2 linked regions of the Anolis sagrei genome follow. The protein of the gene in region 2 interacts with the protein of the main gene of each other region in a pairwise test. Links are inferred from orthologs where the notes say so. Each region holds a gene or a part of one and is shown on either strand. Other genes may lie near its edges. The genes, in order: ANKRD1 and MYPN.

Evidence for each region.
Region 1: the proteins of MYPN (region 2) and ANKRD1 interact in a two-hybrid assay, tested with the Homo sapiens proteins (2 studies listed by BioGRID). The link is inferred for Anolis sagrei from reciprocal best matches to the Homo sapiens genes MYPN and ANKRD1.

What each region holds. Positions count from the first base shown.
Region 1 is NC_090023.1:184,857,019-184,873,737, forward strand, and holds the start of ANKRD1 (ankyrin repeat domain-containing protein 1), read right to left. Parts: upstream 9,193-16,719; 5' UTR 8,927-9,192; coding exon 8,900-8,926; intron 3,958-8,899; coding exon 3,778-3,957; intron 1-3,777. UniProt on the Homo sapiens protein: May play an important role in endothelial cell activation. May act as a nuclear transcription factor that negatively regulates the expression of cardiac genes. Induction seems to be correlated with apoptotic cell death in hepatoma cells.
Region 2 is NC_090023.1:170,218,194-170,235,680, reverse strand, and holds the start of MYPN (myopalladin), read right to left. Parts: upstream 6,561-17,487; 5' UTR 6,342-6,560; intron 1-6,341. UniProt on the Homo sapiens protein: Component of the sarcomere that tethers together nebulin (skeletal muscle) and nebulette (cardiac muscle) to alpha-actinin, at the Z lines.

The sequences.
Region 1 (16,719 bases), about 15 Mb from region 2:
CCCATGTAAGCCGCTCCCGAGTCCCCATCGGGGAGATAGTGGTGAGGTATAAATAAAGATGATGATGATGATGGCTTTCTAATTGGATGCCTTCAGAAGGGGATTAAGAAATGATAGCTGTCTTGTTGCATGACTTCAGAAGGGGTTGAACTAACAATAACTTCCTATTTGCATGGCTTCAGAAGGGAGATAATCAATGATATATTGATGAAGGATTTCATGGCTGGAATCACCGGGTTGTTGTAGTTTTTTTTGGCTATATGGCCATGTTCTAGAAGCATTCTCTCCTGAGGTTTCATCTGCATCTATGGCAAGCATCCCCAGAGGTTGAGAAGTCTGTTGGAAACTGGGAAAGTTGGGTTTATTGACCTCGCAACCTCTGAGGATGCCTGCCATAGATGAAGGTGAAACATCAGGAGAGAATGCTTCTAGAACATGGTCATATAGCCCGCAAAACCTACAACAACACAGTAATCAATGATGGTTTCTCAGTTAGATGGCTTTGGGAAGGGATTAACCAAGGATCAGATCCTCTGAAGATGCCAGCCACAGATGTACGCAAAACAACAAGAAAAAATACTACTAGAACATGGCCCTACAGCCCAGAAACCACACGATACCCCAGTGATTCTGGCAATGAAAGTTTTGACAATACATGGCTTAATAGTTGGATGCCTTCAGAAGGGGATATACTTAATTTTATCTTCCACAATTCTTTCAACATGGAACAGGTGGCACACAACATTTTGGGTTGTTGTAGGTTTTTTCGGGCTATATGGCCATGTTCACAACATTTTGGTTTAAGCTGGATACAGTGAAAACAGATTCATCTCTAGACAATCTTTGAAAGTGAACCAGCTAGTCTCTGCTGGTTACCTTAAGGAGAGCATGGCTTGCCAAGGCTGCATTCCAATCTCACTTCTAACCCAGAGCCAAGGTTGACTCTCATATATGTCCCAAGGTGCCTGGAGATTTGGCCACCCTACCAGTATCAGGCGGCATGCCTCTCACCACCAGCTACTAGGAAGCATGGGCAGGAAACCCAAGGCAGAACAGCCAATTGTGAAATATGATGGAAGCTGTGGTTCAGCAATATCTGCAGAACCAAATTTTATCTGTACCCTTAAGTGTGCACTCACAAGACTGATTCAATACATGTTACTACTTAAGGCAAATATACCCCAATGCCACAAAGGGCCTCATCTCACTTACCAAATTAAGCATCCTGGGACACTTGCCAGCCAGTTGAGGGACAGATGGGCATGCAGCCCATCACACAATGTCCCCAACTTCTGGCAGAGGCCCCACCCCCAAATAGCATGGAAGCAACCTAGGATATTTCCTGGTCAACATGGAAAGGCTCCCGTGTAGTGCTGGGAATGGGTCATCATCATCATCTATTATGGCATCCTCCAACCAAAGGGAACAGTCAGCAAGCTATTGCTGTCCCTTCCAAGTAACGTGAGCAAACTATCTCATTCTCTTTACTGCAGAACTTGGCCAGAATTAATATGTTATTCAGGAAGAGTCTGGGCATAATGTTGCTGTTTTGTCCCTTCGAGTCATTTCCAATTTATAAGACAACCAATAGCTTGCTGACTGTTCCCTTATAATATGCCTGTGAGACGTGGACTATCTACAGACGTCACATGCAACTCCTAGAACGATTCCATCAGCGTTGCCTCCAAAAAATCCTGCAAATCTCTTGGGAAGACAGGCGGATAAATGTCAGCATGCTGGAAGAAGCAAAGACCACCAGCATTGAAGCAATGGTTCTCCGCCATCAACTCCGCTGGACCGGATGCCCGATCACCGTCTCCCAAAGCAGTTGCTCTACTCCAAACTCAAGAACAGAAAATGGAATATTGGTGGGCAGGAAAAGAGATTTAAAGATGGGCTCAAAGCCAACCTTAAGAACTCTAGCATAGACACAGAACTGGGAAGCCCTGGCCCTTGAGTGCTCCAGCTAGAGGTTGGCTGTGACCAGCAGTGCTGCAGAATTTGAAGAGGCAAGAATAGAAGGCAAAAGAGAGAAACATGCCAAGAGGAAGGCGCGTCAAGCCAACCCCAACCGGGACCGCCTTCCACCTGGAAACGGATGCCCTCACTGCGGGAGAACATGCAGGTCATGAATAGGGCTCCACAGTCACCTATGTACACACCATCAGTACACCGATCTTCAAAAACAATCCTACTCGGACAACGAGGGATCACCTAAGTAAGTAATAAGACAACCCTATTGCTGGGGTTTCTTGGCAAGATCTGTTTAGACAGGATTTGCCTTGCTTTCTTCTAAGGGTGAAAGTGACTTGCCCAGGGTCACTCATGAGGTTTCCATGGCCAAGTGAAAGTTTCAACCCCCTTCTCAAGAGTCATAGTCCAGCATCATATTCCTGCCTGATGTGATAGTTCTACTATAGTTAAATGTTCCTTGGAATTTAGTCTAGTTAGAGCTGTTTCAGAATGTGTGTCAACTTGTACTTCAAGCAACAGGCGCCACATCTTTCAAAGAGCAGTGTAGCTGAGGTTTTTTCAAAGAACAAGGTGTTAATAAGTGCGACTATAAGTGACAGAATCTAGCTCCCAAATATAGAATATATTGCACTGAAAAATCTGTTTATTGAGGTGACTTTTGATTAAGTAGTTTCAAGGCGCACCTTTATTGCAAACTCAATTTAAAAGCATGTTGGGGGGTATGTAGCAAAAGGTTCTCATTCCAAACCCTTTAAAATCTGTCAGGTTTCAATCCTTCCTTGATTTCAGCACAGTACTGTAATTCTTCATTTGAATAATCCATCATCAGTGCGAAACTGTAAAATTCTAATTGGCAGGCTCATGATAAGCTGTTACTTCAAAGGCAAAACTCTGCTGATTTCAACTTACTAATGTCTTTCCTATTTTCACCTTCCTTGAAGGGGAGGGGGGGGGATGTGAATTGGGATTTTGCTGCCCTAGACATCGGTCTTGTTCTCAAAGAACAAAACAGTCAAATGGTTACAAAAATGGTAATGATAATTTTGTGATAATATAGAGATGTGGACAATACAGAGATGTGGAGCTGGGTATGTTTAGCATGAAGAAAAGAAACTAAGAAGGATCATGATAGCAATGTTTAAACATTTGAGAGGCGATCCCATTGAGGAAGGGGAAAGTTTGTTTTCTGCTGCTCCGAAGACTTAAGGCACAGAGCAATGGATTCAAATGGCAGGAAAGCAGACTAAATATTAGGAAGAACTTCCTGACCCTAAGAGCTACTCAACAGTGGATTATGCTGCCTTGGAGAATGGTTGGGTCACCTTTTCTAAAGACTATTCCTATAAGATCCAACCAGTCCATATTTCAGGAAATAAGGCCCGACTGCTCATTGGAGGGAAGGATATTAGAGGCAAAGATGAAGTACTTTGGCCACATAATGAGAAGACAGGAAAGCCTGGAGAAGACAATGATGCTGGGGAAAATGGAAGGAGAAAGGAAGAGGGACCGACCAAGGGCAAGATGGATGGATGGTATCCTTGAAGTGACTGGCTTGACCTTGAAGGAGCTGGGGGTAGTGACGGCTGACAGGGAGCTCTGGCATGGGCTGGTCCATGAGGTCACGAAGAGTCGGAAGTGACTGAGTGAATAAACAACAACCTATAACAATTTCATTGTTTGTGTCCTACCATCCTCCTGAGATTATCTTGTTTAGATGGCCAAAGGAATTCTGACCTTTAGAGCTACAGAGATACAAGGAGATGTTCAAGATATAATTACACAGAAAAATGTTTATATATTTACCTCGGCTTGTAGCTTTTTCTCCTCTGTGTAGGTCAAATTATGCCGTGGGAGCAGGTGAACATTCACCGTCTTCAGATCCTCATGTTTTTCTAACCTCACAGTAGCTTCGTATTCTCCATGTTTGAAGTCCTCCGGGAGAAAATCACCTGTCTCTCTGCCATCACTCTTTTTGCCAGTCACCTGTCAAAGGAAAAACATGGTGTCAGAGTGCAATATTTTGCTTTATGACCCATTAGAATGGGGCAACAATTATACAGAGTGTACCTTTTCATTGCTATCTCTTCCAGAGTTTTATCATTTTATGTCGTGCATTTTCCATTATGTTATTTTGTACTTTTTATTTTACTTGATTGGTTTATTTATTTTATTGTGATGTTATTTTGTTGTTTATATTTTATGTTGATGTAATGTATTGCTGGGCTTGGCCTCATGTAAGCCGCACCGAGTCCCCTTTGGGGAGATGGTGGCAGGGTATAAATAAAGATTATTATTATTATTATTATTATTATTATTATTATTATTAGTGCAGCCCTTGAAAAGCACAGGGAGAGGAATTACTTTGAAAACATGGGTTGAATCAGTGGCATCCAACATTTGGTCATCCAGCTCTTTGGGATTCCAACTCTCAGAAACCCTGTCTACCTTGCCCAGTGTTCAGGAATTCTGGGAGCTGAAGTCTAAAACAACTGGAGGTCCAAAGACTGGACACCACAGAGTTCAATGAATGCCTCAAGGCAACACAGCCGAGCTGATATAAGATGCCATGAAGCAGTGTTTGCCATGTTCCAAATTCTCAAGTGAAGAACCAGTTTGCAACCCAACAAGGTTGACCTTACAACCCAACGAGGTTATGTGAGAGGAAGTCACAGGAAGGAGGGAGCAAGCTTGTTTTCTGGTGCCCTGGGGACTAGGATGCAGAACAATGCCTTCAAACTACAAGAAAGGAGATTCCATCTGAACATTGGGAAGAACTTTGTAACTGAGAGCTGTTCAGCAGTGGTACTCTCTGCCCTGGAGTGTGGTGGAGGCTCCTTCTTTGGAGGCCTTTAAACAGAGGCTGGATGGCCATCTGTCGGAGGTGCTTTCAATGTGATTTTCCTGGTTCTTGGCAGGGAGGTGGACTGGATGGCCCACGAGGTATCTTCCAACTCTATGATCTAAGATTCTATGACCTTATCATTTTGTTCAGTATTAAACAGAATGAGGCAATTGCTTCACTAGTAACTTGTGGAAGGAAGGAAGATGTCTAGATGGTGGGGTATTAAAAATGGTGCAGATTCATGATCATGATAGATTAAGAAAGATATCTGGAATTATAGACAGATGAAAAGAAATTTGAACAGAGAACAAAGCCAACAAGAACTGAGCTGAGATGTCTGTCATTACCATAGTATGGACTTTATGGTGTGTGGGAAGGGAAAAAAATTGTGCAGAAGCTGTCAAGACACAGAGTGCCTGGAGGAAATGAGGCAAAGTGGGCAGTGATCTGAAAAGTTGTTACTTGAGAACAGAGTGTGCTTGTGAATGAAATATGGAAAAAATATGGATTTATACTGTGGCAAAATAATACAAATGGGAGCCTGCAAATGGAAAGCTCTCTGTAGCTTTGAAAGGAAAAAAGTGGGCAGACACAGGAAGGTTGGTACTAACAGTACCAACATAGTACTAACATCAGCTAAGAAAAGTTTCTTTTATGGACTGCACCTGCAAAAATCCTCTAGCTAGAAGCGCCAAGGTCCCCAAAAGTTGTAATCCAAAACAGTAACCATCTCCAAGCTCTGGACCTACCCTGTGGTGTTGTGAGCAGGTAATCCTAAGGGTCATACCAATGGTGAATGATGGCAGGGCAAAGTTCCACTTACTGATTTGAACTGATCAGACAGTCATTAGATAGATACAGCTTGCACCGAGTAACCATCTAACTAATAAATCAGCTTTGGGGAGAAAAACAGTAAAGCAATGGAGAATTTGGAGATGGAGACATATGTGAAACAGCAGGCTGAAGATAGATCCAGAAGCAGAGTCCATTGGTAGCTTCCATGTCAGTGATTAATCTACTCAGAACTATATTCCCCAGTATTGGTCCAGCAATTGATTCGCTCCTTTGGAGACTGAAACCTTGGATGAAGTCATCACTCCATTGATATGAAAGCCACCAATTGCCACTAAGCCACTGAGCAGAATACCTCAGACTAACTAGAAACAATTATATCTATAATTACAGATAGTTTACAGGTACCATAACATTAAAAAATCCATTTCTGTTCTACCATTGGGCATCTGCTATGTGTAGTCAGCCAGTCCAGTTAGTCCATATAATGAATCCTGTTAAAATTAGATGTAGCTCAGCCTCAATGAAGTCAATGACACAAATGAACTATCAGTAATACAGCTTTCATTGCTCCCTGGGGTTGTAGTCATGACTAACTTTATCTGGACTAGAGGTCAATGGCTGGGATTGGTTGCTTTGGGTCACCCAAGAGCTTAGGTAACCCTTAAGGGATTTTTTGTATTCACCCTGCCTCTCGTAGACTGGCAGACTCCTATGCCATCTGGTTTTGAAATTCTCCATGTGGCATGGGAATCTCTCACCATGCCTAAAAGTCCTTTGGGTGTTCAGAATGAATGGTATGGGTCCTTGTTTCTGGCTTGTTCACAACTACCTTATCACTGACAACGCTTAGAAAAACCACCTTCCTCAAATGCTCAGCTTGCATAGTTATTGGCCCATGTTGGTTGAAGGGTTTTGTAAGTTGTAATCCAAAATGGTAACATCTCCAAGTTTTGTTTAAAGCCTAAGATATATTTACATGGTAGTAATCAAGGAGGCTATTCAATACAAGCTCTTTTGGGATCAAAGCTTCTTAGCTTCGATCCTATCCATATCTGCTTGGAAGTCCCACTGATTACAGGGGACTGTATAGACCAGTGGTTCCCAACCTTTTTTTTATATACCAGGGACCACTTTGACCAGGGACCACTCTCCAACATTAGTACCAAAAGGGTTACGAATCAGTTTTTGGTCAACTCTCGATTCAGTTTAGTTATTTGGGGTGCTGATTCAGAAAATTGCATTGGATAGACCACATCAGCTCTAGTTTCTGATACAGAACATATGCCATCCAGTAGTCACCATCTGCTCGCTCACAAAAAATATATATTTAGTAAGCCTCAGCACTATAAGAGGGTTTTACAAGACCAATTGCTCTTGTTGGAACGGTGTCATAATGGTGAGGCCGTGGGCTGTATTTTAGTTCTTGTGGACCACTGGTGGTCCATGGACCACAGGTTGTGAATCACTTGTATAGATTGTCAGCTACAATTTCTTTTGGTTCAAATCTCTAAACAATCATCCTGGCTGGTGTCGAAGACTGTTTAATTAATGAACCCCTCTGGTAAGGCAATGGATTTGATAAAAATTTTGCAGAACAGCTCCTGGATATTTGGACAACAATTATAGGAAATACCCATGCCGGACCTTTCCAAAGACACAGCCTTTCGAGAAGGCTCCTATTCCATTTGTTTCCTTCACTGCTAACTCTTGCCATTAATAAGACAGTCAAAAGACCTGAGATAGAAGATGCCAATTAAGCCTATCCATTCACAGATGCTCACATACACGTTATCCTCTCCAAAATTGTTAGTTCTGAATCAATCTCACAAACTTGGCTTGGTGAAAACATAACCAGAAATGCATTGTCAGATTACTTTCCAGTCTATATAGAAGAGATTCGGGTGTTTCAGATGCATGACTCAATCCCCAAATAAGATTTATGTTTTGGAGGTCACAATGTGGTAAAGAAATATGAAACAGACTTTAAACAAGCAAACAAACTAAAAGAATTATCTTTCATCTGAGAAGCAACCCCTTTTCCTCCTTATGAAAGCACTTACGGGGAAAATTTCAGTGTCCTTGCACTTAGATCAGTGTTTCTCAACCTGGGGGTCAGGACCCCTGGGGGTTCGCGAGGATGGTGTCAGAGGGGTTGCAAAAGACCATCAGAAAACACAGTATTTTCTGTTGGTCATGGGGGTTCTGTGTGAGAAGTTTGGGGCAATTCTATCATTGATGGAGTTCAGAATGCTCTTTGATTGTAGGCGAACTATAAATCCCAGCAACTATAACTCCCAAATGTCAAGTCTATTTTCCCCAAACTCCACCAGTGTTCACATTTGGGCATATTGAGTATTTGTGCCAAGTTTGGTCCAGAGCCATCATTGTTTGAGTCCACAGTGCTCTCTGGAGTTAGGTGAACTACAGCTCCAAAACTCAATGCCCACCAAACCCTTCCAGTATTTTCTCCTGGTCATGGGAGTTCTGTGTGCCAAGTTTGGTTCAATTCCATTGTTGGTGGAGTTCAGAATGCTATTTGACTGTAGGTTAACTATAAATTTCAGCAACTACAACTCCCAAATGACAAAACCACCCCCTGCCCCAATCCTACCAGTATTTAAATTTCAGCATATTGTGTATTTGTGCCAAATTTGGTCCAGTGAATGAAAATACATTCATGGAAATGAACCAAACCTGGCACACAGAACTCTCGTGACCAACAGAAAATATCAGAAGGGTTTGGTTGACCTTGAGTTTTGGAGTTGTAGTTCACCTACATCCAGAGAGCACTCTAACAATGATGGATCTGGACCAAACTTGGCACAAATACTCAATATGCCCAAATGTGAACACTGCGTGGAGTTTGGGGGAAATAGACCTTGACATTTGGGAGTTGTAGTTACTGGGATGTATAGTTCCCCTACAATCAAAGAACATTCTGAACCCTACCAACAATAAAATTGGACCAAACTGCCCACACAGAACCCCCATGACCAACAGAAAATACTGTGTTTTCTGATGGTCTTTGGTGACCCCTCTGACACCCCCTCATGAACCCTGCAGGGGTCCCGACCCCCAGGTTGAGAAACACTGCTCTATTACAAAGATTCTCAGAGACAATTCATAAAACCACATCATTAGATCACATGTCACATAAAACTTGATCAGACTGCCCAGCCATGTTTCTCTTTCTGCTATAGTTAATTCATAACTTATATGGAACACTTGACAAAAGTGTGTGATACCAGCCTACAAAATGCAAACCATAAAGGAAGAATAACAACCTACCAGCTCTTCCACTTTCAGCATCATCATGGTTCCAGCTGGCTTATCAAGAAGTGTTAACACTGTTTGGTACTCCTTCCAAGGAAGATGCCTCCTCCCACTGCTATCCAAAGCTACTTTGCTAAAATGCGCCAATCTCGCTCAGCTTATATATCTCTGCAAAAACTTCTTCAGAGTGAGATAATCTTCCAACCTGGGAATCCAAGTACGCCCTCAGCCCCCCAGCCCTGAGATAGGTGCTCTTGCATTCCAGACATGTTAACTAGCCAGATCTAGTGTCAAAGATAGGAATGGCTAGGGGAGGGGGGGGGAGAAAAAGAAGAGGGCTACATCTTGCCATGTGTAACTGGGCTGCCTGTGTGAATCACTGTGAAATACTAGAGCTTCATTCCATTCGTGATGACTAAATAGCTCTGCAATGCTAGACATTTTGTCTGTCCAGTGCCCAGTGGGACAGCTGTCTGCAGATACCGCGCTGTATCGTAACTGACTTTCACATGAGCCAGAGACACCAGGAAAAGGACAAGTGACCCAATGCCGTGCTCAGCGTATCATCATCTTTGGCTAAGCAAACATGTGATCTATTCAGGTATGGGAAGTCATTCTTTTCGTGATATTCTATTCTCGGATTGTAAACAGTATGAGAGGGAAAGGGGTGGTCTTTTTCTCCCCCCTCCCCTTCCTCTACCCATCATCATGGCACTTGTCTATATTTGCTGGAAGGAATTATCCAAAGGGATTATGAAGCCAGAATGATGTCTCTGGGGCTAAAAAAACCTCAATGACACAGTAAGTTACCATCAGCATAAGAAATGGAACCCGCTGGCTTTGCATTTTCTCTGGAATCTGTCACTACTTATAAGCAGAATTCAGAGCTGGGGAAAAGGTAATATCTGGGACTATAAATTCCAGAGTCCTCCAGGCAGTATAGGGGGTCATTGAAGTTGTAGTCCTAAAAAAATATTTTTCTGAGTTAGAGCAAAAGGGAAATATGGACCCCAAAATTAATCTTGAAGTACAATTTCCACTCAGATTAGAAAATTATCCATAATCAGTCAAGGTTTTCTATCGTTTCCAAACAGAACACTAGGGTTCCACAAAAACATCACAGAAGTTCCGCATTTTTTTAAAAAAAAAACTTTTAAAAACTTTTTTAAAGACCATGCCAAAGAATGAAGGTTTTATTGAAATTCAGTGTACCTAGAATCATAGGGTTGGAAGAGACCTCATGGGCCATCCAGTCCAACCCCCTGCCAAGAAGAAAGAAAATTGCATTCAAAGCACTCCAACAGATAGCCATCCAGTCTCTGTTTAAAAGCTTCCAAAGAAGGAGCCTCTACCACACTCCGGGGCAGAGAGTTCCACTGCTGAACAGCTTTCACAGTCAGGAAGTTCTTCCTAATGTTCAGGTGGAATCTCCTTTCCTGTAGTTTGAAGTCATTGACAACGGCAGCATAAACATAGTTTATTTATTTATTATTTATTTAAAGCATTTATATTCCACCCTTCTCACCATGTTTCAATGCTCAAACATGGAAATGGATTGAAGCATCTACAATAGAAGATGTCACAATTTCCTGCCTAACAACAACAGCAGCAACAACAACAACTTTATTTTTGTACCCTGCCTCCATCTCCCCGAAAGGACTCGGCTTAAATAAAAGTCCAAACTATTTATTTATTTGTTTGTTTGTTTGTTTGTTTATTTACCACACTTTTATCCCGCCCTTTTCAGCCCGAAGGAGACTCAGGGCAGCATACAGACTGGCAACAATTAGATGCCGAACACACATAAAAGCATCGTTTAAAGCAGATTAAATCACATAATAAAATTCATATAAAAACAATTTAAAACTATAAAAATCAATGACTTCCGAGTTTAAATCCATTTCCATTTGCATAGTTAAGCCATTCCATATTCGTTCACAATACTGAGTTTATCTGGTTACAATGAGGTTCCAAAAACTTGCTCGAAGAGCCAGGTTTTTATTCTTTTCCTATAGGTCAGGAGGGAGGAGGCCAATCTAATATCCCCAGGAAGGGTTCCACAGCCGAGAGGCCACCACTGAGAAGGCCCTGCCCCTCGTCAGGCAGAATCAAGAGCAGGGCCTCCCCAGATGATCTTAAATTCCTGGAAGGTTCGTAAGGGGAGACACGTTCAGATACGTACGTTGGGCCAGAACTGTTTAGGGCTTTATAGGTTAAAGCCAGCACTTTGAATTGTGCCCGGTAGCAAATTGGGAGCCAGTGGAACTGGCGCAATAGCAGAGTTGTATGCTCCCTGAGAGCCGCTCCCGTTAGTAGCCTGGCTGCCACCTGCTAGACCATTTGAAGCTTTTGAACAGTTTTGAAAGGTAACCTCAGGTAGAGCATGTTGCAGTAGTCTATATGGGATGTATACACTACTGCACATTAAAATTCAAATAACAACATCACAACACAATATAAAACAACCAGATATATAACACAATGTAATAAAAGAAAAAACAATCGAGCAACAACCAGTGGCCAGAAATAGTAACAGTTTCCGGTCTCCGGAGGGCAGGCTGGTGCAAATCAAATTGTGAGGACAGGGCTAATTGATAAAGTGCAATTACCAGATTGATGGGGAGATATTGGAAATATATTGATACATATATTGTATGTACTTTAGAAGCACTGAAATGTAAGTAAAATCAAGTGCTCACTGTATTAGAAAGCCGAGCTGACAGGCCAGAAATAATGCTGAAGGAGATCTGTGTTGAAAGGGGGAAGAGAAGGGGGTCGTGTTATCGATACAGAGACTAGTACAGCATAGCACAGGCTATACCATCATATTTCTAAGTAAGCAATCTCTCTCCCTCCTGACAGGTCAAAGTAGGCCCCTTTGATGAATGTAAGCTGTAAACTGCTTTTAGAAAAAAAGTATAGATACATGCCCCTTGCACGTAGAAGATAGAATTTGATATTTCTATTATTCTCAAGGAGCCCTCGGTGGTGCAGTGGGTTAAAGCGCTGAGCTGCTGAGCTTGTTGACTGAAAGGTCACAGGTTCAATTCCAGGGAGCGGTGTGAGCTTCCGCTGTCAGCTCTAGCTTCTGCCAACCTAGCAGTTCGAAAACATGCAAATGTGAGTAGATCAATAGGTACCGCTCCAGTGGGGAAAGGTTGTGATCAGATAGGTACATTCTATCACATGTGGTGGACCTGTAAGGAGACATCAAAATATTGGTCATTGATTCATGAGGAGATACAAAAAAATATTAAGTTTAAAAAGAACCCGGAGTATTATCTATTAGGCTTTACTGACTTGGAACTACAACTTGGCGAAAATGAAGATAAACTATTTACATATATTACAACAGCACTAGAATTATTTTTGCAAAATCTTGGAAACAAGAACAAATCCCTGCTATTGATGAGTGGTTGGATAAGGTAAGAGAAATAAGAGATATGGATGAGCTAACTTTTTTATTAAAGATAAATACCGGGAAATCATTGAAAGGACAGATTGGGTCCTTTTCTATGACTATGAAAAAAACAGAAAAAGGAAAGATACAAAGAAGATGTAAATGTAACAACGAAGTAAAAAGTAAAAGTAAAAGATAAGAAGATCCTGAGGCTGGAATGGAAGTCATCTTTTTTGTTTTTCTCATCGGTTTTCTCTCTCTCTCTCCCTCTCTTTTTCTATCCTTTTCCTACTTTGCTTTCCTCTTTTGAATATTCCCCCTCTTTCCATGTATCTATATCTAAACTAACTAATAAAAATATTTTTAAAAAATAGGTACCAGCAGGAAGGTAACTGCGCGCCATGCAGTCATGCCGGCCACGTGACCTTGGAGGTGTCTATGGACAACACTGGCTCTTTGGCTTAGAAATGGAGATGAGCACCACACCCCCGAGTCAGCCATGACTGGACTTAATGTCAGGGGACAACCTTAACCTTTTTATGATGCTTAAGGTGATGTAGTGATGATGTTAACGTATATAGAAGCATGTTTCTTTGTTTGCCTGCATTTGAAGTTGTATAAAAGAAAAGTCTATGCCTTTATCTTCACTCTGGTTTGCTTTTGGATGAGAGTCCACACCAAAGTCCCAGCTGGAAATAAAGCCGTACTTTTCTGCCTACAAAAGGATCGCTCTTGGTGTGCTGTCGCACGCTGGGCCTGTGCATAAGACTGTAGACAGGACATACATTCTGTGTGCCCAACGGGACGCCGGGGCTGCCTCAGATTAAAGGCCCTTGGATTTCTTTAAAACAGAGTCTTTAGATTGCTTAAAGGTTCAACAAAGTTCTTTATTATTGAAAATAAACAGGTACTTTAAGGCTTTCTTAATAGTCTATTGGCTCTCTCTCAATCTTGTCCACAGGGAACAGGCACTATCTTCATAAACTGTACATTAACTAATGGGGAAATCCTTAACTTCTAATCTGGGCAGTCTGTCTTTGCCTCTGTTGGCGTGGAGCCCCTGCACCCGGTACCAACTGCTTCTGGCTTCCGCGAGTGACCCTTACCAAGCAGAGCTTTGTAGACTTCCAGAGGAAAAAGGAGTTTCGGTGATGGCTGGCTGAAGTCCCTCAGCAAAGGAGCTGTAAGGCTGTATGATCCTCGGCCAAGCTGTGGGCTGTATAACCCCGGCCAAGCTGTAGAAGACGAAGCTTTCTACAGGAATTCTTGGTTTTATGTCCTGTATGAAAGGCTTCTCTGTGTGGACTGGCCCAAAATGGCTCCTATTCCCTACAAAACCCAAAAAGGGACCAGGGAACTTAACTATAATTGACAGGTGGCTTGCCAAAAGAAGCCACCTATCCGCAGAGTCCCTGAAACTTAGGACTACAACAAACATTAAATGCAAAGCAAACAAAATTGGAGCTCCTGGTACAGCTGTACCTGCACACTTGGTATTATCTCTCCTATGTGCTGCTATAAGATGACAAAACTAGGGTTAAAGGCCGATATAGAGTGGAACATTATAACTTTGAGCAGTATCTACAGTATCATTTGCCCAAAGCATTTCCCTTGTTCATCTCTAATAACAGAGTGGCTTTATGATAAGGGCTGTGAAGTCGTACCTTCTGGATACAAATTCTGTTCTGCTTCCTGACTCTTACCTCTGCCCTTATCTTTTAAAACACAAAGGATGCACCCGTATGATTTCTCCATTGAGATACAAAACTAGCATATAATGCTAATGGTGGAGGAAACGCACGCGGAGTGCTTCTCAGTGGAGCATGGCTTAGATTCTCAGCTGCTGCAAATTGCCTGGGCCCTGTGCCTATTCCAATATGCTCCTCTGCTTCTTGGCAGCCTCCTGGAAAGAGACCGACAGTCATCCCACCAGTACAGTATAAAGAACCTTAAAGATGCAGACGGTGGAGTCTGAAGACGATGATTCAGCTTGGTGAGGTAAATGTCCACCAATCCAGGAACTGTATTTGTGCCCACAAACATGAAAAGAACCAAAGGGCGGGAGAGGCGTGAACATTGGAGCTTTGCCTTAAATGTAAGCATTTTGTTTCGGGTTACTGACTTTGAATAAGATGCTTTGTAAGCAGGTAGCTTTCCATACCTCAGAGGCAGGAGGATGACTTCCAGGTTATATATTTGTCCCAATGTCATTCGGTTGGAATCTAGACTATGTTTATTTCTTTGCCTTTGTGGTTAATTTACGATCAGAGATACTTAGCTCAATTTCACTGACTCCATGTGATATAGGGATTCAAACTGGGGAAGGCAATTCAAGGACATTTGATTTTCCACCCCTCCAACGTCATCTATATAAATAAAAATTTTATGTGCGTTTGTGAGATTAACATAACTCAAAAAAACACCAGATGAATTGACACCAAATTTGGACAAAATACACTTATCAGGCCAACAAAGTGACAAAAACTAAAAAAAAAACACTGAAAAACACAACGGAAGAGACTTTAAAAGCCCCAAAAAATTAAAAAATTACAACGCATGCGCAAAACCATATATATACACACATACACACAAAACACATATACACAGACTGGGCCAGAGCAACGCGTGGTAGGGGACAGCTAGTAGAATCATAGAATCATAGAGTTGGAAGAGACCTCGTGGGCCATCCAGTCCAGCCCCCTGCTAAGAAGCAGGAAAATCGCATTCAAAGCCCCCCTGACAGATGGCCATCCAGCCTCTGTTTAAAATCCTCCAAAGAAGGAGCCTCCACGACACTCCAAGGCAGAGAGTTCCACTGCTGAACAGCTCTCACAGTCAGGAAGTTCTTCCTAATGTTCAGATGGAATCTCCTTCCTTATTGTTTGAAGCCATTGTTCCGCCCCTAATCTCCAGGGCAGCAAAAAACAAGCTTGCTCCCTCCTCCCTATGAGTTTCTCTCACATATTTATACATGGCTATCATGTCTCCTCTTAGCCTTCTCTTCCGAAAACTAAACATGCCCAGCTCTTTTAGCCGCTCCTCATAGGGTTTGTTCTCTAGACCCTTGATCTCCCTTCAATTGTGGTGCCCAGAATTGGACACAGTATTCCAGGTGTGGTCTGACCAAGGCAGAATTTGTATCAGGAGATATGGTCTTGTAGATAATTTTGATTTCTAGATTGTGTAACATCAGTTGTAGCCACCAGGTCCAGCTTTGCCTCCTAGTCATGGTGAAATGTACAGTAGGTGTGTATCCAGTCTCTGTACATTATACGGCCAAGGAAGAGGGATCTGCTTTATCCTTAAGACAGAGGGGAAATTGTTAGATGTGCAACAATGCTTAGCAATGAAGAATGCCTCAGTGGTAATAGGGTTTTTTGGTCCTCTCTTCTTAATTACCTATCATAACTGCACTAGGGTGGCACAGTGGGTTAAACCTTGTCCTGGCAGGACTGAAGGCCGACAGGTCGGAGGTTTGAAACCGAGGAAAGCACGGATGAGCTCCCTCTATCAGCTCCAGCTCCCCATGCGGCAACATGAGAGAAGCCTCCCACAAGGATGGTAAAACATCAAAACATCCGGGCGTCCCCTGGGCAACATCCTTGCAGATGGCCAATTCTCTCATACCAGAACTTAACTTGCTGTTTCTTAAGTTGCTCCTGATGCAAAAAATAAATATATGATTGCATTGTGATGTAAACGGATACTTAATGATGTTTTTCACCTCTTCCCTCCTGTCCTCTCTCACTTCTTTCTTAGAATAAAGCTAGTTTAAATTGGGTAACTTTCCTATCTTTAAACGAGTTCCCATAAAAAAACTTTTAATTTGTTTCTCCAAACCATTGATTTCTCTGTTCTTTAATTAGGACCTCAAGCCATGCCATATAACCTCTATCACAAATCTGTTCCTTGTTTCCCTGTTGAGCAATTATAACTAGATATTGCTTAGTGGGCCATAACAACCAGAAGTTATCTTAATGTCTAAACATTTTGGTCAATATGTTGTGTGAGGAGGTATCTAATGTCTCTTTGTGCAACACCTAAAAATGTTTATGTTGGCATAAGTCTCCAAGTGAGTTCTGGTCTGTACTTCCCAGGCATTGAATGGACTAGATGCGTGGGTGGAAAGGGTAGAATTAGGATTTAAGGGAGAAAGGCTTAGTTAAATCCAGGCCCATATGATGTGTTATGACATCCAGCATAATGTAGTGGTTCTAAGTATTGGACCATGACTCTGGGAAATTCAAATCTATGTTCAGTAATGCAAACCCAAGGGATGACCTTGTGCAAATCATACTAACAGCCCTGTCAGAATCACCACCAGAATCATGGTGATCCTAGCAGCACTCACTCAGGAGGCTTGGGGACATATCATCCCACGTCTCGCACCATTCTGGCTTCCTTCCTCACTCATCACATGGGAGGAAGTGTCTGC
Region 2 (17,487 bases):
GAAACTGTTTATGCTGTGCATTGTAGTTCCTGATTATAGCCTGCTAAGAATGGACATGTGTAGATGTGCTTAGTAAACTTTGTGTTATTTTGCAATTGTAAGACTACAGAGTCCTGATTTTTGGAATCCTGTGTCTGTTGATCTAGCAACTTCTTCCGCTGCGCATATACCCCCAAATTTCTCTGACAGAATTGGCCATCTGCAAGGACGTAGCCTCCTCTCAGGTCCCTTCAAGGGGAGCTGAAGCTGACAGAGGGAGCTCAAACCTCTCTCCTTGGATTTAAATCTCTGATCTGTTGGTCAGCAGTTCTGCTGGCACAAGGGTTTAACCTATTGCGCCATGAGGGGCTCTTGGTAATATTATTCCTGTATTGTGTGCACGTCTTCACTGTAGGAGCAGGGGATGGGACAAAGGGAAATACTGGTTTGCACACTACACAATTAAACTATGGGATTCACATCAACAAGATCAGTAGTTTTAAAGGGGAACAAGGCAAACTGTGGTAGCTACTTGCCAGGATGGATATATACATCCTCCAGCAACAGAAACAATAAGTCTATCTGTACCAGTCTCTAAGGAAAGTGGACAGGGAGGGTGCATCTGTTTGACAACTGCGGGCACACTAGATGGCTTTGTGGCCATATCCAGCAAGCTCTTCTCATGTTCTTAACTAATCTTATTCTGGATTCAAGTTCATTGAGACCATGGCAGAAGAAATAATTTGAAGTATACTTAATCCATCAGTGCACAACTTGTGAGAATGTATCATATCACGTACAACATACACACCGCTGATATATGTTCTAGCCTGCAGTGTATCTGGCACACACACCATAGGCCGTTTTGGTTTAGTTCCAAGCCAGCAATGGCAGCTGGAATTCTGTTAAATCACTTGTGGTCTCTGTTTCCCTTGGGGGAGAATCCACATTTTTATAAGCCTGATTCAGTTTAATCTGAGGCAAAAGCTGACAGATATGGCACAGCAGTGTAAAAACCTAGCCAAACATGCTGTGTTATTGTCTCTCTTCCAAATTGCTAGACTGGTTAGAGAGAATGTAACTAACCTAATGAGAGTTGCAATGAGAGTTGTCAAATTCTGCAGGTTTTCAAATACATTTCAGAGGAGCTATTAAACAAATGTTCATCCCCCCCCCCCCCCCCTTAGCAATGGATGAGCAATGCAGTATCCAACCTAAGCAGTTATTTGTGCTGGATAGAGAGTATCACATCCTGCTTGTGATATTTCTGCCATGCATTCCAAAAATAGTCTCCCCACCAGAGACCAAAACATAGCTGGCTCATATTTATAATTTGTGATCAATTACAATTCCCTGGGTCCTTTTACAAAAAGTAACTACCAGGACATTGATCCTTTGCTAAAAGTGTACATTTGATTTTCTTTCAGTGTACTAGCATGATAGTAAACATATATTTTCTTTTAAACAGTTGTCTGGTTTTCAAAGATTGTTTTAATCCTGCCTTTTACAGGGTTTACAATCCCTTCCAATCTCTGCTGAGAATAGCTCCCAGGTCATGTTTTGGGCTACATGTCGATCTGCAAGACTCAAAAACAAAATAATTTGATGTAATTTTCAGTCAGTTATTCTCAGAGAAGTCAGTCATTCTCAGAGAAGTTAGTCCAACTTAAACAGAATATTAAAGATGATTCTCTAGCACAGTACGACTCAAAGTGATGGTCCATAGACATGAGGCAGACTATGAGCATTTCTATAAGGCAGTGGTTCCCAACCTGTGGTCTGTGGACCACCAGTGGTCTGCAAGAACTAAAATATGGTCTGTGGCCTCACCGTTACTACGCCATTGCAACAAGAGCAACTGGTCTCACTAAACCCTCTTATAGTGCCTCTTATAGTGGTCATTAGCATCAGGCTAAAATGATTAGTATTGGAACAATTCTATAATGTCTTCCCTTCCAATATTCAAGAGCTGGTTTTAGTAGCATATCGGTTTTGCTGTATTTCTGGCCAAGGGGTGTCCTCTCTTGGGCCATATCCTGGCCAAGAGGATAGCTTTGGTTGTATCTCTGCTGATACGACCAAGGCCAGAGTCTCAGAGCCAAACCATGCCTCTGAGACTCTGTCCTTTGTCTTATCCACTTTTTTCCTCACTCCATTATTGAAATAATGAGTCTGGAGTGGATGGTAAATGTGACTATTCCTTGGATTGTATGTATGAAAGAGAAGGAACATTACTGTACTATCTTTGTACATGTGAACACATGTATGGTGCCTGCAGCAGCATGAGCCCTGATTCACGGATAGCCTTGCAGGATTGATTCCATTTGTACCATTAATAATGCAACCTTACTGTTCCTCCAGATATTTGGACTTCAGTTTGTAGAAGTCCCAGCCAGCAAGAACAATAAGAGATCATATAAGCAAAAAACCAAAAACATCCAGGGAGCTCAAAAATGAATGCACTTGATAATCCCAAAAGAACCCTCCATTCAAATCTACCATTAATATCACTGCAGTCCCTTCTGTACTGCCATATAAAACCCAGATTATCTGCTTTGAACTGAATTATATGGCAATGTAGAAGGCACCTTGGAGAGAAAATAAGCATAACTAGTCATAATAGTTGATATAATTACTTTTGGGTAACTTGGCTAATTGGGATCTAAACCTTGGTCTCCAAGTATCCTAATTCAACATTCAAAACACCGCATCATGATAGCTCTACCTCTATGATCTACATCACTGTTATTATTTATATTCAATGGATTGCAATTTACTTTTTAAAGTGGTGTCTGATGGCTGTTTCATAAATGTAAGCCACTGTATTTGAAAGTTATCAAAAATACAGTGGGCCCTTGGTACCACTGGATTTGGTCCCAGGACCCTCTCTTATATGCAGTCACATACAAATATACTACCATTTCTCACTTCCCATCTGATTGGGACAGTGGCATGGCCACAGAAAAGAAACTGGCTGGCAGGATTCCTCTATCTGACAACACAATACTTGCATTCTGTCCCAAACCCTTGCACTTCTATTTAAAATAGGAATAGAAATTCTTTCTTTAAAGTGGTAAGAGGACAGAAAAGGTCAATGGCATTGTCTCAGTTTAAACTCCATAGCACCTTTGAGACTGAGATAAATAGTTGGCAGAATATATTTTCGTTTATTAAACCAGCTTCTGCAGATGCATGGAGGAAACAGACTATGAAAGCGTATACTACAACTGCTTTCTCATGCATTTCATGTTAGTATTTCATACTAACACAGTCATGACTTTGAATTCAGTTTAAACTGTAATGTTATAATTTAGAAAGTATTACATGCATTATTATTTATTTGGATTGGAAAACTACCAAACCCAATTCTAATTATATAATTCTACACACACACACACATATACACTAGCTGTCCCCTGCCACACGTTGCTGTGGCCCACATGGGGGTTCTGTGTGGGAGGTTTGGCCCAATTCTATCGGTGGGGTTCAGAATGCTCTGTGATTGTAGGTGAACTATAAATCCCAGCAACTACAACTCCCAAATGTCAAGATTCTATTTTCCCCAAACTCCACCAGTGTTCACATTTGGGCATATTGAGTATTCGTGTAGAGTTTGGTCCAGATCCATCATTGTTTGACTCCACAGTGATCTCTGGATGTAGGTGAACTACAACTCCAAAACCAAAGGACACTGCCTACCAAACCCTTCCAGTATTTTCTGTTGGTCATGGGAGAACTGTGTGCCAAGTTTGGTCCAATTCTATTGTCGGTGGGGTTCAGAATGCTCTTTGATTGTAGGTGAACTATAAATCCCAGCAACTACAACTCCCAAATGACAAAATCAATTTTTTTTGAGTGATGGACATACATTGGGTTATTAGGTATCATGTGTCCAAATTTGGTGTCAATTCGTCCAGTGGTTTTTGAGTTCTGTTAATCCCATAAACTAACATTACACACACACTAACATTACACACACACACACACACACACACACACACATATATTCCTTGTTTTACATCAGGTTTTTTTAACTGACCCTAAATATAGGCCACATACCATATTACATTGTAGCTTTTAAAAACTGCTGACATGTTTTCTATGCAGTGCTTTCTTGTATATGCAGTAAGATGTAGTGTTGGGGCTGCTAAAAACTAAGAAATGTATGTTGATGTTTTGTCTTTTATTCCTCTCTATGCTACTTGAGTCCCCTTCGGGGTGAGAAGGGTAGCATATAAATGAAATAAATAAATAAATATATAAATACTATCTGTTCTGATACAGCCATGCACCATGAAAGAACTCCCTGGATAGATCTGATGACAAAATTCAGTCCGGTACCTGCTTAGTAGAGATGCAAAGCTAACAAAGTATTAACTAATTTTAATCTAGCGAAAAAATATTAATGATCCACCAGAGGTGGTTGGGATTGTGATGGGATAGGTTATGAGATGACCCACACTTTGAGGCTATAGTTGTAATGTTTTTTTCTAGTGATGTGGAGAACTTTGCTATGAATTAGAAACAAATAAAAGCCAAAATGTAATTTATAAGACTACATATTAAAATAATTGAGTCCCTCAACATAATGGAGCTGCAATTTTCAAACTACAAATCACCAAGTGTTCAGTTGATTTCACTGATATCAGCCTTTTGACATACTAGAGGCAACGATTTAATCAAATTCCTTAGAAGCAAATGGCTTCAAAAGAGTAGTCTATTGTAATCCCAGATCCAAAGCAAAATATACTATTGTACACTGATTTTTTTAAAAAAAAAGTCAGTTCAAGTTGTAGCCATAAATTGATAACCAATTTGGCATCTACTGTAAATATTGCTTGCTATTACAACAACATTTTAGTATTGCTCAAAAACCCTTTTTGCTCCGTAAGTGTACAAAATATGCAAGGTTAATAAGATCAACAGCAGCTGATTGATTTAACACACAGTTGGATGAAATTAGCAACAGTTAAAAACTGATTAAAATATGGAATTAAAACTGATTGAAGCCATGGATGTATTTCAACATGTATAAAAGACTATAACTACTAAGATCTACATTTTTAGAGTCACAAAATTACATTCCTGAATTTCTTGAGTTGCCTTTGGGTTGGAGAAATGAGGGGTAGAAATGTTGTAAATAAATAAATAAATGCATAAATAAATGCTTATTTGAATATTGTGAAAGGTCATAATTAATAATCCCCTTTTAATAACATTTCTGCTACATTTTAAGCTGACACAGTAGCATTGATTTATGTGGGGCTAGTAGGTGAAATTCCCGTTACAGAAGTCAGCATAACTGATCTCTCCATGTTTAGATTCTACCACAAGATATACTATTTATTACAAATGGAAAATAATTGAACTGTAATTCTCAAACTGTTGCTCAGGCATCTCTGGAGTAAAATCTTGGGAAATGCCTTGAGAAATATTTCTCTATAGCCTTAAGAACCATATTTTTAAAACATTTTTTTCCTAAAAATGCTCATTAAGGGAAAGTGGCAAGAAGAGTATCCTTAGCTACTATGGATTATTCAAGTATGCATTTCTAGTTAGAAAATTTTGTTCTTATGGCCTACATTTCTTCTTTCTATTTTTCTTTGGCTCTACAAAATCCAAGAATTTATATTCAAACTTATCTGCATATAATGTTGTGTAAAATCCTTGTTCTACACAGTCTAAGTTTGCTTAATTATTTATTTTGCTTCATTATGTTCTCTCCATTACTGATTAATTCTACAATATAGCATGCCAAACATTTGCCACTGACAGTCAAAAAGTTTTTTGCAGAGAGAGAGAGAGAAGGGTGAGGGTTGAGAAAGCAATGCCCTTCGAGCAAAACTGTTCCTGCAGCTGTTGTGTACATTAATCCACGTAGCAGATCTTCAAACCCTAAATATAACTGGCAGTATCATTTTACATGACACATATTCTCTCTTTCTCACTCACTCATGCACCACACACACACTATGAAAAAGAAAGATTTTAAGTACACAGCAATATTTGCTTGTATTATTTTGTTTAAGAAGGAAATGCAAATAGTTGGTGTGGGTTTAGTGACTCTTAAATAACAATTTATACTGCAGTTTGAAAAGAGGGAGATAAAAAAGGGAAACTTTCTCATCCCCCCACTGCCTGTCTTCATGATTCCAAAGCTCATTCGGTTCTCTTTAATCTTGGATCCTCTTTGTAATTCAACCCAGAGAGTAAAAAAAAAGGGACTTGCTCCCCTAATATGACTTATCAGCAATAATGAGCATTCAGACATAACACAACCCGCCACCCTCTATTCTAGACCCTCCGTGCACCTGCGCAAGGTCATCAAAACATAGCAACACTTGAAAATTTAAAGATATTACCTTTTCTAGTTTGTCCAGATGTTAAAATCCAACTCTGGCACACAAACACGGTGGCAATTATTCCTTAAAATGAGATTTTAAATGACCGAAGCGATGGTACTCCTTCAGGTCTTTCGGAACTGAAATGTCTTGGAGTCCATCGGCGGAAGGGGGAAAGGCGTTAACCTTCGTTTTAGGGAAGATGGCTGTAAGAAGCCGGACAACCTGTCACCACTGAAGCAATAGCATTTGTCAGTTTGCAGGTCCCAAGTTATTTTGAGACACATAAACCATGTGCTTGTGAAACATTCCACCTCATTGGACAGGATAATATTGAGCAAAGGGATTCCATTGCTGTAACAGCACCTACGGAGGGTGGGATCCTCATTTTCCCTCCCCAAATAGAATATCTTCAGTGGATGCTTACGCATTCTCGGCGCGACTTGTTCATAAGAACACATGAAATTGATTTCATATTATTCAGGTTCTAATCTTATCAAAGAGGAGGGGTTACTTTAAAAGCCCAAAATAGTGAGATTAAAACTCCTCCTTGTTTATTTAGCTGTGTCTTGTTCTCTGAACGTCTAAGATGCCTAACATTACATGCTGTTAATAAAGAAACACGTTTTTGGGTCATGCTGGTTTTTGGGTCATGCTGTTTTTATTTTTTTAAAAAACCAAACCTATTTTAAACAGAATTTAACTGGAATATCCAAACAGCTATGTTAGGGTAATACTGAATTGTTATTAGAAATATTTTAAGAACATTGCATTAATTAATAAAGAAATTAAATAAGAAGGCAAAGTTTCATAATGAGGCAATTCCATGAAACGATGGGGAGAAACCTCTAGCAGGGAGGAAACTGAATTTTTGTTAGCAGGTCTTTTCATCAAAGTACTATACTATAACTATAATTTGGTGGAGGTCTCCAAAACACACTGAATGTCAATGGTTTTAATCCTATATTATACGTTTATTTTTATTTTTTTATTTTTTGAAATATGTTTATTATAATTTTGCTTACAAATATTTTAAAAGCAGAAAGATTGCATGGGGGAGGGTGATTGGGCAGGGTTGGGTATAAGGGTGTGTGGGGAAGGGTTAGGGATGTATTGGGGAATGGGGGGCAAGCGACAGAGAGTCGAAGATAAAGGAAAAAAGGAAAAGAAAAAGGAGGAAAGAAAGGTGAAAGAGAGAAGAACAAAAGAGAGAGAGAAATACCTAGCAGTTAAAAATCAGAGTTGAAGCAGGTTCTGTTCGTTGACTTCCACCTTTATCTTCCCTGGGTAATTTTAGTTTTCATACTGGTACCATGCTTTTATTTGATGTTGGTCACTTCTTTTTTGGATTTTTCAAATCTCTAATTTCTTGTTTTCCATTCTATAACTCGTACTTACTTGGGAGTATCAAGTCTTCGTGGGTTTCATTGTAATTCCTTATAATTTTTATAAAGGGTCCAGTCTGTTGGGTTTATAGGTTTGCCCTCCGGGTCTTTTAGGTAGTATGTCAATAGGTCCATATCCATAATTTCGGATACTTTAGTTTCCCATTCTTCTTTGGTTGGCAGTTCCTTTAGTTTCTACTTCTTAGCATATATTATCCTTGCGGCTGTTGTCAGATAGGTGAACAGTTTGTCCTCATTTTTTTCCAGCGGAATGTCTTTATCCGTTATGCCGAAAAGAAAGTATTCTGGTTTTATTTTTATTTTTTTAATGAATAAGTCATACTGTATACCAAAACATTTACTTTTGATTAGACATATATAAACATGTTTGTTATTGTTGTTTATTCATTCAGTCACTTCCGACTCTTCGTGACCTCATGAACCAGACCATGCCAGAACTCCCTGTCAGCCGTCACCACCCCAGCGCCTTCCGAGTCAAGCCAGTCACTTCAAGGATATCATCCATCCACCTTGCCCTTGGTCAGCCCCTCTTCCTTTTTCCTTCCATTATCCCCAGCATCATTCTCTTCTCTAAGTTTTCCTGTCTTCTCATGATGTGGTCAAAGTACTTAATCTTTGCCTCTACTATCCTTCCCTCCAATGAGCAGTCGGGCTTTGTTTCCTGAAGTATGGACTGGTTGGATCTTCTGGCGGTCCAAGGCACTCTCAGAACTTTCCTCCAACACCACAGTTCAAAGGCATCTCTCTTCCTTCGCTCAGTCTTCCTTATGGTTCAGCTCTCACATCCGTAGGTTACTACGGGAAATACTATTGCTTTTACTGTGCGGATCTTCGTTGTCAGTGTGATGTCTCTACTCTTCACTATTTTATTGAGATTGGTCATTGCTCTCCTTCCAAGAAGTAAACGTCTTCTGATTTCCTGGCTGCAGTCTGCATCTGCAGTAATTTTTGCACCTAGAAATGTGAAGTCTGTCACTGCTTCCACGTTTTCTCCCTTTATTTGCCAGTTATCAATCAGTCCAGTCGCCAGAATCTTGGTTTTTTTATGTTTAACTCAACCCAACTTTTGCACTTTCTTCTTTTGCCTTGGTTAGAAGGCTCCTCAGCTCTTCCTTGCTTTTGGCCATTAAAGTGGTATCATCTGCATATCTAAGATTGTTAATGTTTCTTCCAGCAATTTTAACTCCAGCCTTGGATTTGTCAAGCCTCCTATGTTGCATGATGTGTTCTACATACAAGTTGAATAGGTTGGGTGAGTGTATACAACCCTGCTGTACGCATTTCCCAATCTTGAACCAGTCTGTTGTTCCATGGTCAGTTCTTACTGTTGCTACTTGGTCCTTATACACATTTCTCAGGAGAGACAAGGTGATTTGCTATGCCCGTACGACCAAGAACTTGCCACAATTTATTATGATCCACACAGTCAAAGGCTTTAGAACAGTCAATAAAAAAGAAATAGATGTTTTTCTGAAACTCCCTGCCTTTCTCCATTATCCAGTGGATATTGGCAATTTGGTCTCTTGTTCCTCTGCCTTTTCTAAACCCAGCTTGCACATCTGGGAACTCTCTCTCCATGTATTGCTGGAATCTTCCTTGCAGGATCTTGAGCATTACCTTACTAGCATGAGAAATAAGGGCCACTGTATGGAAGTTTGAGCATTCTTTAGCATTTCCCTTTTTTGGTATGGGGATAAAAGTGGATTTTTTCCAGTCTGATGCCCATTCTTGCGTTTTCCATATTTGCTGGCATATGGCATATAAGCATGATCTGGAAGCAAAAGGATATCCTTTCCACTACTGCATTTAAGTACTGATGGGAGAATGTTCTTTAATTCCAACATCTCTCAAAATATTTCCTGTGATCTAGATATTAGTAGAGCCCCATTTTATTCATTTTTAAAACAAGTTAGTGTAAATGTAAAAAAAAAAAAAAGAAACAACCCAAAAAAAAAAAAACTATTACCAAGAGGAGTTGGAATCATATGATGTTCTAGATGTTTTTAGACTGCCATTAGTGAGTCCCAATCAATGTAGCCCAGGGTAATAGAAGATGTAATCCACTTTAGGATCACAATAAATTGGAAAATTGGAGAGGATAAATCTTTCAAATTCTCCCACATTCCACAAACAAACTCAAGTTCTTTGTAACCAATTTTTAGAAATTTTGTGAATGGTAGTGATTTCATGTCAAAAGCAATCTGAAATCAAATTTTCTTCTCTACCCATCGATTCGCCACTTGCACAATAAAGAATGAGCACTAAAGAAAAACTGAGCCTGGCACCTTCTGTTTACTTAACAGTTTCTTTTACAAATTGTTAGAATTAAGATTCTCATTAGGTAAAAATATTAGTACCCCTACATCTCTGCAAGATCAGAAATTGGAGGAAGACTTTCTTTTTTAAAGATGTCCATATAGTTTAAGGAAGACTGTTAAACATGACTAAGAATTCAAAATATGGGGTTTTGCTCAATGTGTCCGATGATGCTCTAGGTCGGATATTGTTTGGGGCACAATGTGCTTTCAGAAATTATAGCACCTTGTACTTGAATACATTCCAGACTCAGCATACACTGTTGCTATTAATACAAGCTGACAGCACTGGAAAACTGAATAATTTACATTCTGGAAAATAGTCATTATTCTGTATCACTTTGCTTAGCCCCTTACTGCTTTATTAAAAGCTCAATGTTACACTGTCTATTGGGTCTATATTATCTTATTTAGGAATTTTTTGTGCACTCTGTCACTAAAACTGGACCTCTGTCTGATCCTGATCTTGTTTGGTGTATGGCATATGTGTGGATACACAAGCCAAATAATAATAATAATAATAAGAAGAAGAAGAATCAGAATCAGAATTTTGTGGTCTCTTAAGGCACAAACTTCTGAAATGCTATCTGCTCTAGTTGAAGCTGAGGAGTCTTACCACTTCATATAGACTCCTTAAATTTACCTGTCCAATTGACCCTGAAGTGTTTCAGAGAAAAGGAAATCCTAGATTTCCACCAAAAACGAGAAAGCTGGAAATGTCAAGATCTCATAACTACACTTCTTCAGAACATTGCTGCCACTGTGCATCATGAGTACTTACTCAACCTCAACATTATCAACCAGGCTATCTAGATAATGTGCAGTTTCCACAAGTTTTGCACCAAGCAGGCAATCCATTATGTGTCTGTTATCTCCCACAGGTACATCCCCAGAATGAGAACATTTGTTGATCCCCCAAAAAACCTTCCTGGAGTGGTGCCTCTTTGCCTCAACATCCTCATTCTCCACAACAGCAGCTATTTTGTCAACCTGGGAATGAGACACGATTATCACAACCCCGATAACTTTGTCTTTCTTTGACCTAGAAAGAATAAACTGGTTATCTAAGAGCCAGGAGCTTGTAATGCCAAGCATACACCCATGATGTTGCTGCAAGCAGGCAGTTACACAATAAATTGAACAGTTCTGACATTCTTACTGGCTTCTATTTACAAAGGCAACTTCCTCTAAGGACCTCATCATGTGGGTGAGGTCCAGTGTTGCGATTCATCAGCTTCTGTGTCAAATTGGAGTAGCAGCAGGGCAAACCTGGCACACCAGCCCCATCACACGTGGGGAAGCATCACTGCATGGTTTAATCCCATGGTAGCCCCATTGTTCCTAATGGATCATGGGGAAGCTACTGCTGCACGTCTGCTTGACTCATGGTGGCTGGTGTGAGCAAGGATTTAGGGTGGTCAAAACAAACTGTTGCACCTCAGAGTAGATTCACCTTGCTGAAGACACCAAACCACACACAGCCAGATGTCTTTATAGTTATTAAAAATAAAAGGTAAAAAGGTTCTTAAAAGCAAAGGTTAATGTTCCAACAGATCAATATAAAATAGCACTTGAAGCTTAATCCAAAAAGGCATCAGCAAAGCAAAAACCCAAGAGAACATGACAAAGTCTTGTCATGAACACAAAAACTGCAAGATAAATCCAGACAAGCATAGGCAAACTTCTTAGTTGAACGCAAAGTTGCTTTGACAAAGATTTGGTCTCGCACACATGGCTTAATACCCTTTGCAAAACATGAAGGCATTCTTTGGCTTCTGGCCTCCCTCTTGTTAGCTATTCTTTCACTCCTTCGGACTTGGAATTCCAAACGGTCAGCCCGATCTAAGGTTTCCATTTTGCCAAGGTCAGCCAGTTTGTTAGTGTCAGCCTGTTTCCCTGCTTGTTCATTATCAGGCTGAGAACTATCCTCCTTCTCTGAGTCAATCTGCACCTCACCTGGCTATTTTCAGTATCAACACTCTCATTCCTTGCTGTGGGATACTGCACTTCTTCATTGCCTATAACAGGGACGTCTATAACAGGGACATCTTGAACCAAACTGTGAACCTGAGTCCCATCATCCTCATCAGAGACAGTCTGTGATTCCAGCTGAGTCACAACAGCTACCATGTTGGTGGCACAGTGTCCTACTACCCACAGAGCCCCGTTGGAAGTCTGCCTATGTCATATGATGGGCGGCATGGGGCTCCGTGAGTGAACAGGAGTAGAAGTGTCTTGGGACACTTATTTTTTCACATGTGATGAGGTCATAGGATTGAGACACTTTGGGCACATATACATGTACACTTTAGCCTAAAGCAAGTGAGAATGGGCTCTATGATGTTTACATAACCGGTTTGAATCCCTCTACGGAGAAAGAGAAGATCGGAATATTAAGTTTTAAAGAAATAAATAAATACATACATAAAACATGAAGCCATCTTGCCCCCAACACAGGGCACAGCCATTCAACAGGATTGTGCTCCACATTAGGCAAAATTGGGGAATGCTCAGGAGCTTCCCCAGATTTTGAGGTGGTGGTGAGATGAACACTGGGGCCAGTTTGGAATCAGAATTACCCCCACAGATCACACAAAGGTGTTTGCACAACTCAGGGGGGAGGGGGTGGCCCTATCCCCTCTTCCAGTCATGTGGTTGCCTTTGCTTACATTAGCAAGGGCACCAAGTGATAGCCACAAGCAGGGGTGGCTCAACCCATTACGCAAAGTAAGCATTTGCAGTATAGTTGATTTTGCCCAGTGGCACTCTTGAGGCACTCTTGGGGGAAAATAGACCTTGACATATGCGAGTTGTAGTTACTGGGATGTATAGTTCACCTACAATCAAAGAGCATTCTGAACTCCACCAATGATGGAATTGAACCAAATATGGCACACAGAACTCCCACAACGAACAGAAAATATATTTCAGTGATTGGTTGGGGGGGGGGGGTGCCAAAATACTGTTTGCTTTCTGTTGAAAATTATCTAGGGCCACCTCTGGCCACAAGCTCTCTGGAGCTCCAAGTCCACTGCTACAGTGACAAACAATCACATAGGTAAGGGTTAGCATCCAATGGAGCCCCACTGACTTATTCCCAACTGTGGCTGCAGCCAATTAGATTAGGAAGCCTAATTAAAACCAAGCCAAAGTAAGCTATAATGGGCTCAACTCCAGGGCTGCAGAAGCCTCTGTTTCAGTTTCCTGAATTTGCATGCAACTCTACTAATACCAGTTTAGCAGCATGCAAAGATTCCAGCCCCTAGAAAGACTTATATTGTTTACGTAAATGTCTTTAAACAATTCCAAGGACTTTTACTGACTTTACAGTTATTGTACAAATGTGTTCTCCCAACTCACACAGAGCTTTGCAGACCCTCGAGGAGTTTAACAATCCTCCACAAACTCTTCCGGAGGTTTTAAATCCTGCATGGAATCCTGATGTGGATTAAACCACATTAGCACTCCACCAAGATAGCAATAAATACATTCCATCATTTGGAACCAATAATAAGTATCAGGGTATCACACTCCCATGTGTAAGCATAATTTAAATACTTCCAACACAAAACTCTTGAAGACAGAAATATAAGTTATGAAGTTGTAAGGTTATAGGCACTTGGATGATCAAGTGTTGAAAAATGGTATCAACAAAAGTTTGAGCAACCAACATTTAAAAAAAACAGTGCAATGGAGGGATGCTAAAACCCCAAATACAGTTATTGGGAAACTAACCAGAGCAGACTCCACTTCCAAAGTAAAGGACATAGGATATGGGTGTCAGATTGAATTGATGAAACTTCGGCCTTACTTTGAAAGTAAAAGGTCCAAAAAAGCAGCTAAGGTAACCTAATAATTATATTAATTCCTTATCAGGAATTCCAAAATCCAGACTACTTCAATTGCCAAAACTACAGTCATGAGTGACCTTTGCTTTCAGATGTTTAACAAACTATATTTCAGACAGAAAACTGTTGAAAATATTTTATTAAACTTTCAGGGTATGTGTATGAGATATATATGGAATATAAATGAATTTTGTATTTAAACTTGTGTTCCATCTTCAATTTCTCATTTTATATGTGTATGCAAACACAGGCTTTCCAAAATCCATGAAAAATACAAAATACAAAACATTCCTGGTTCCGAGCATTTTGGATAAGGCATGCTCAGTCTATGTTAGTTTATGGAAGCTAGTGTTAACTATTATAATGATCTGTGATAACAATGAAAGGCCTTCTTGGAAAGAGAGATATTTCTAATTCTGTTTTTTTTCTGTTAGTTTTAAGTTTTATTGTATTGCCATATTGCCCACTTTCTATTATTTGTCTGATGTTAAATGGCAATGGGACAGAGTATCTAATCAGGATTGGTTTCCTTTGAGAAGAAATCATTGGAAGTTGATAATATTCCATAATACGAGTTTATTTACAAATCTACTAGGGCTGGGCGGTTTCGTTTCGTAATTTCGTAATTTGTTAAAAATTCGTTATTTTTTTGATAACGAAGCGATATTGAACCATTCAGGAGCAACTAAAAAATAAACGAATTTTTCCAATTCATTTCGTAATTGTTTCGTAATTGTTTCGTTATTGATTCGTAAATGTTTCGTTATTATTTCCGCATGTCTGGTGCAAGTTTTAGGGTTGCTGTTTGTTTTCTCAGTGAAAAAAATATAATTATCACACCAACAGTCAACAACAGAGGGAGAGGGAAGCTTCAGAAGTTTTTTTAGCGTATTGTGCGATCGCGGCCGCCATTAACGAATCGATTCGTAATCGATTTGTAATCGTTTCGTAATTGTTTTATGATTTCTGAAATTTCGTAAATATCGAACTTTTTTTAAGGAAAATTTCGGAATTCTTTTAAATAACGAAACGCAAAAAAACCCTAAAAATGAATCGAGTTTAGAAACAAATTTTTCCGTGTTTGGACAGCCCTAAAATCTACAGGTGAAACATTCCATATACAGTCTATCCCTATGCACCAGTTATTCAGACAGAGCACCCCTGCATCTCTTTGTGCTACGAACTTATTTGAACCTCTGGACATACTCCCTTCCTCATCACCCCTCTCTTTCAAAAATCTGCTGTCAGACTCCTTTGTTCCCTTTCACTCTCTCACATACTTCTAGATTTCACCCCCTTGAGCTACCAGAGAAAGGTCAGCCACTGCCATTCCTTTCTCTTCTTATTTTCACCTGTTCAAAACATCCAGTATCAAGAAGTAATTTACTGACAATTAATTTCCACTGAGGTCCATTGTTCAAATATCCCAGACTATTAATATCCTTTTCTCAATTCCAGAAGATTGGCTAGGTATGGCCTTAAACCATAAGGCAAACACAATGGTACTCCTGTTCACAGTCATCTGGCAGTAGAAAGAAGATGGTTTATATGGATGGTGGTATAAACCCCTTACAACAGCTAAACAGGTAAGGAGAAATGATTGCATGAATAAAATGTAACTGCATATTTAATACTATTGAAATGTATTGGATTAAGACCTACCAAATCCAGATCCACTGAAAGTAATGGTCTCTACTAGTCACAACTAAGGAGACTCAATGATATGGGATCCTCAACACAATGTTGGAGTTCAGCCTGTGATTGTGTTTCAAGAAGTGTTTTAGATGTGGGGAACTATGTCAACGAGGGTCAAGATGGGGATGGTCTGGTCAATGATATTAATGCAGATAATGACACAGAGATGACGGTTCAAAGTGTAGTTTCCCATGAGAATGTTCCTAAAGGGTATAGGGATGATAGTTTACTCCCTGAATTGCTCCCAGAGATTTCCCAGGATTTGGGGCTTGAAAACAACTTGGCACCTGGAGAAACTAATGAGCATATAGACAGATGGGTGGAAATTAGCCAGAACAAACAGCTTGGCCAAGGCCTTCGCTGTTCTGCAAGGCTTTGAGAGATAAGGATGAGAGGCATTCAGGGAAAATGAAACCAATTTCTGAGCACTTGGAATGGCTTAATGAGGAGATATAAAGTTCCAACCATGGGAAATATAGTCAGATGAAGCATTGTTTCAGAATCCTCTTTGTCTCTTGTGATTATATACTCATGCTTCGGATCAATGTTTTCCTGGTTTTTTGGATTTTATTAGAGAAGTCTGGTCTTTGTCTTTGAACTTTGCTGAACCTTAGCTTGGAATACTTTGTTTCTGCTTATCTTCCAACCTAACTGGATTTACCTATTCTCTTAAAGTGTTTTTTTAACCTTGCTGCTTTTACTTATCTCCAATAAAAAAAAGGATTATTTTCCTACTCAATGTGTGATGTTTTGAAGTCAGGGGGTCATTCCTGTTCTGGAGTACAGTACACGACAACTCTCATGGTCCTATAGCATTGAGCCATGACAGTTAAAGTGGTGTCAAACTGCCTTTAATGAAGTAATAATGGAGCACTGAAATAAATGGACATCAGTCATTCATTCCACCCTCCCCCCTAAAGTAAGGCAGCTATAATCTGAAATCTACATAACTTGAAATCTGGTAGTATTTTGTAGTATTTTTGTTGCTGCTGTGCCTAAGAAAGGCCTCACACTTTACATGGACTGAAAACAGGACTCGGTTTCTTTTTGCATGCAGCTCTCTCAGTAGGATATTGTGTGGTTTCCGGGCTGTATGACTGTGTTTTAGCAGCATTTTTCTCCTAATATTTTGCTTGCATGTCTGGCTGGCATCTTAGAAGATCCTATGGAGATGCTAGCCACAGATGCAAGTGAAACATCAGAAGAAAATGCTACTGGAACATGGCCATACAGCCCAGAAACCCCAGTGATTCCAGCCATGAAAGCCTTCGACAATACTGTCCATCCTTTCCCCTTAATGGGGTGGCTTTTTCTCCATGGCCATTATAAAACATGTACCAACTCATTAGCACAAGCTCATTTGCCCTCTATGTCTCTTCATTATGACATATATGAAACTAACTATCTGTGTAGTGGATGTTTTGCATTACAGCTCCCATACTTTCTGCCATTGGCTGTGATTTCGGGGAAATTGTAGTCCAAAACCTTTGCGCTTTTGCTTGTATAAACAGGAAGGCCAGATAGCTGCTGCAGCCAGGAAGTCCTTTGCTCAGCATTGGGTAGATTACCACCTGCACCTTTTCATAGGGCAAGCAGATATGCCCACTGTGGTTCATTCCTTAATTACCTCCCAATTAGCCTATAGTAATGCACTTTATATGGAGATACCCTTGGGAAATACTTGGAAATTGCAGCTAGTACAAAATGCAGTGACCAGATTTCTTTGAGGTACGTAGTGATATATTATGGGCCTTGTAAAAAGTGCCCTGATATCCAATTTGCTTCTAAAATCCATAGTATTTTTTGTTTGAACTCATACGCCCCCCCCCCCCCCAAATCTTAGGGTTAGGATATCTGAAAGTCCATCTTCTTCCATATGAGCTTTTCTCAAATTTGAGATCCC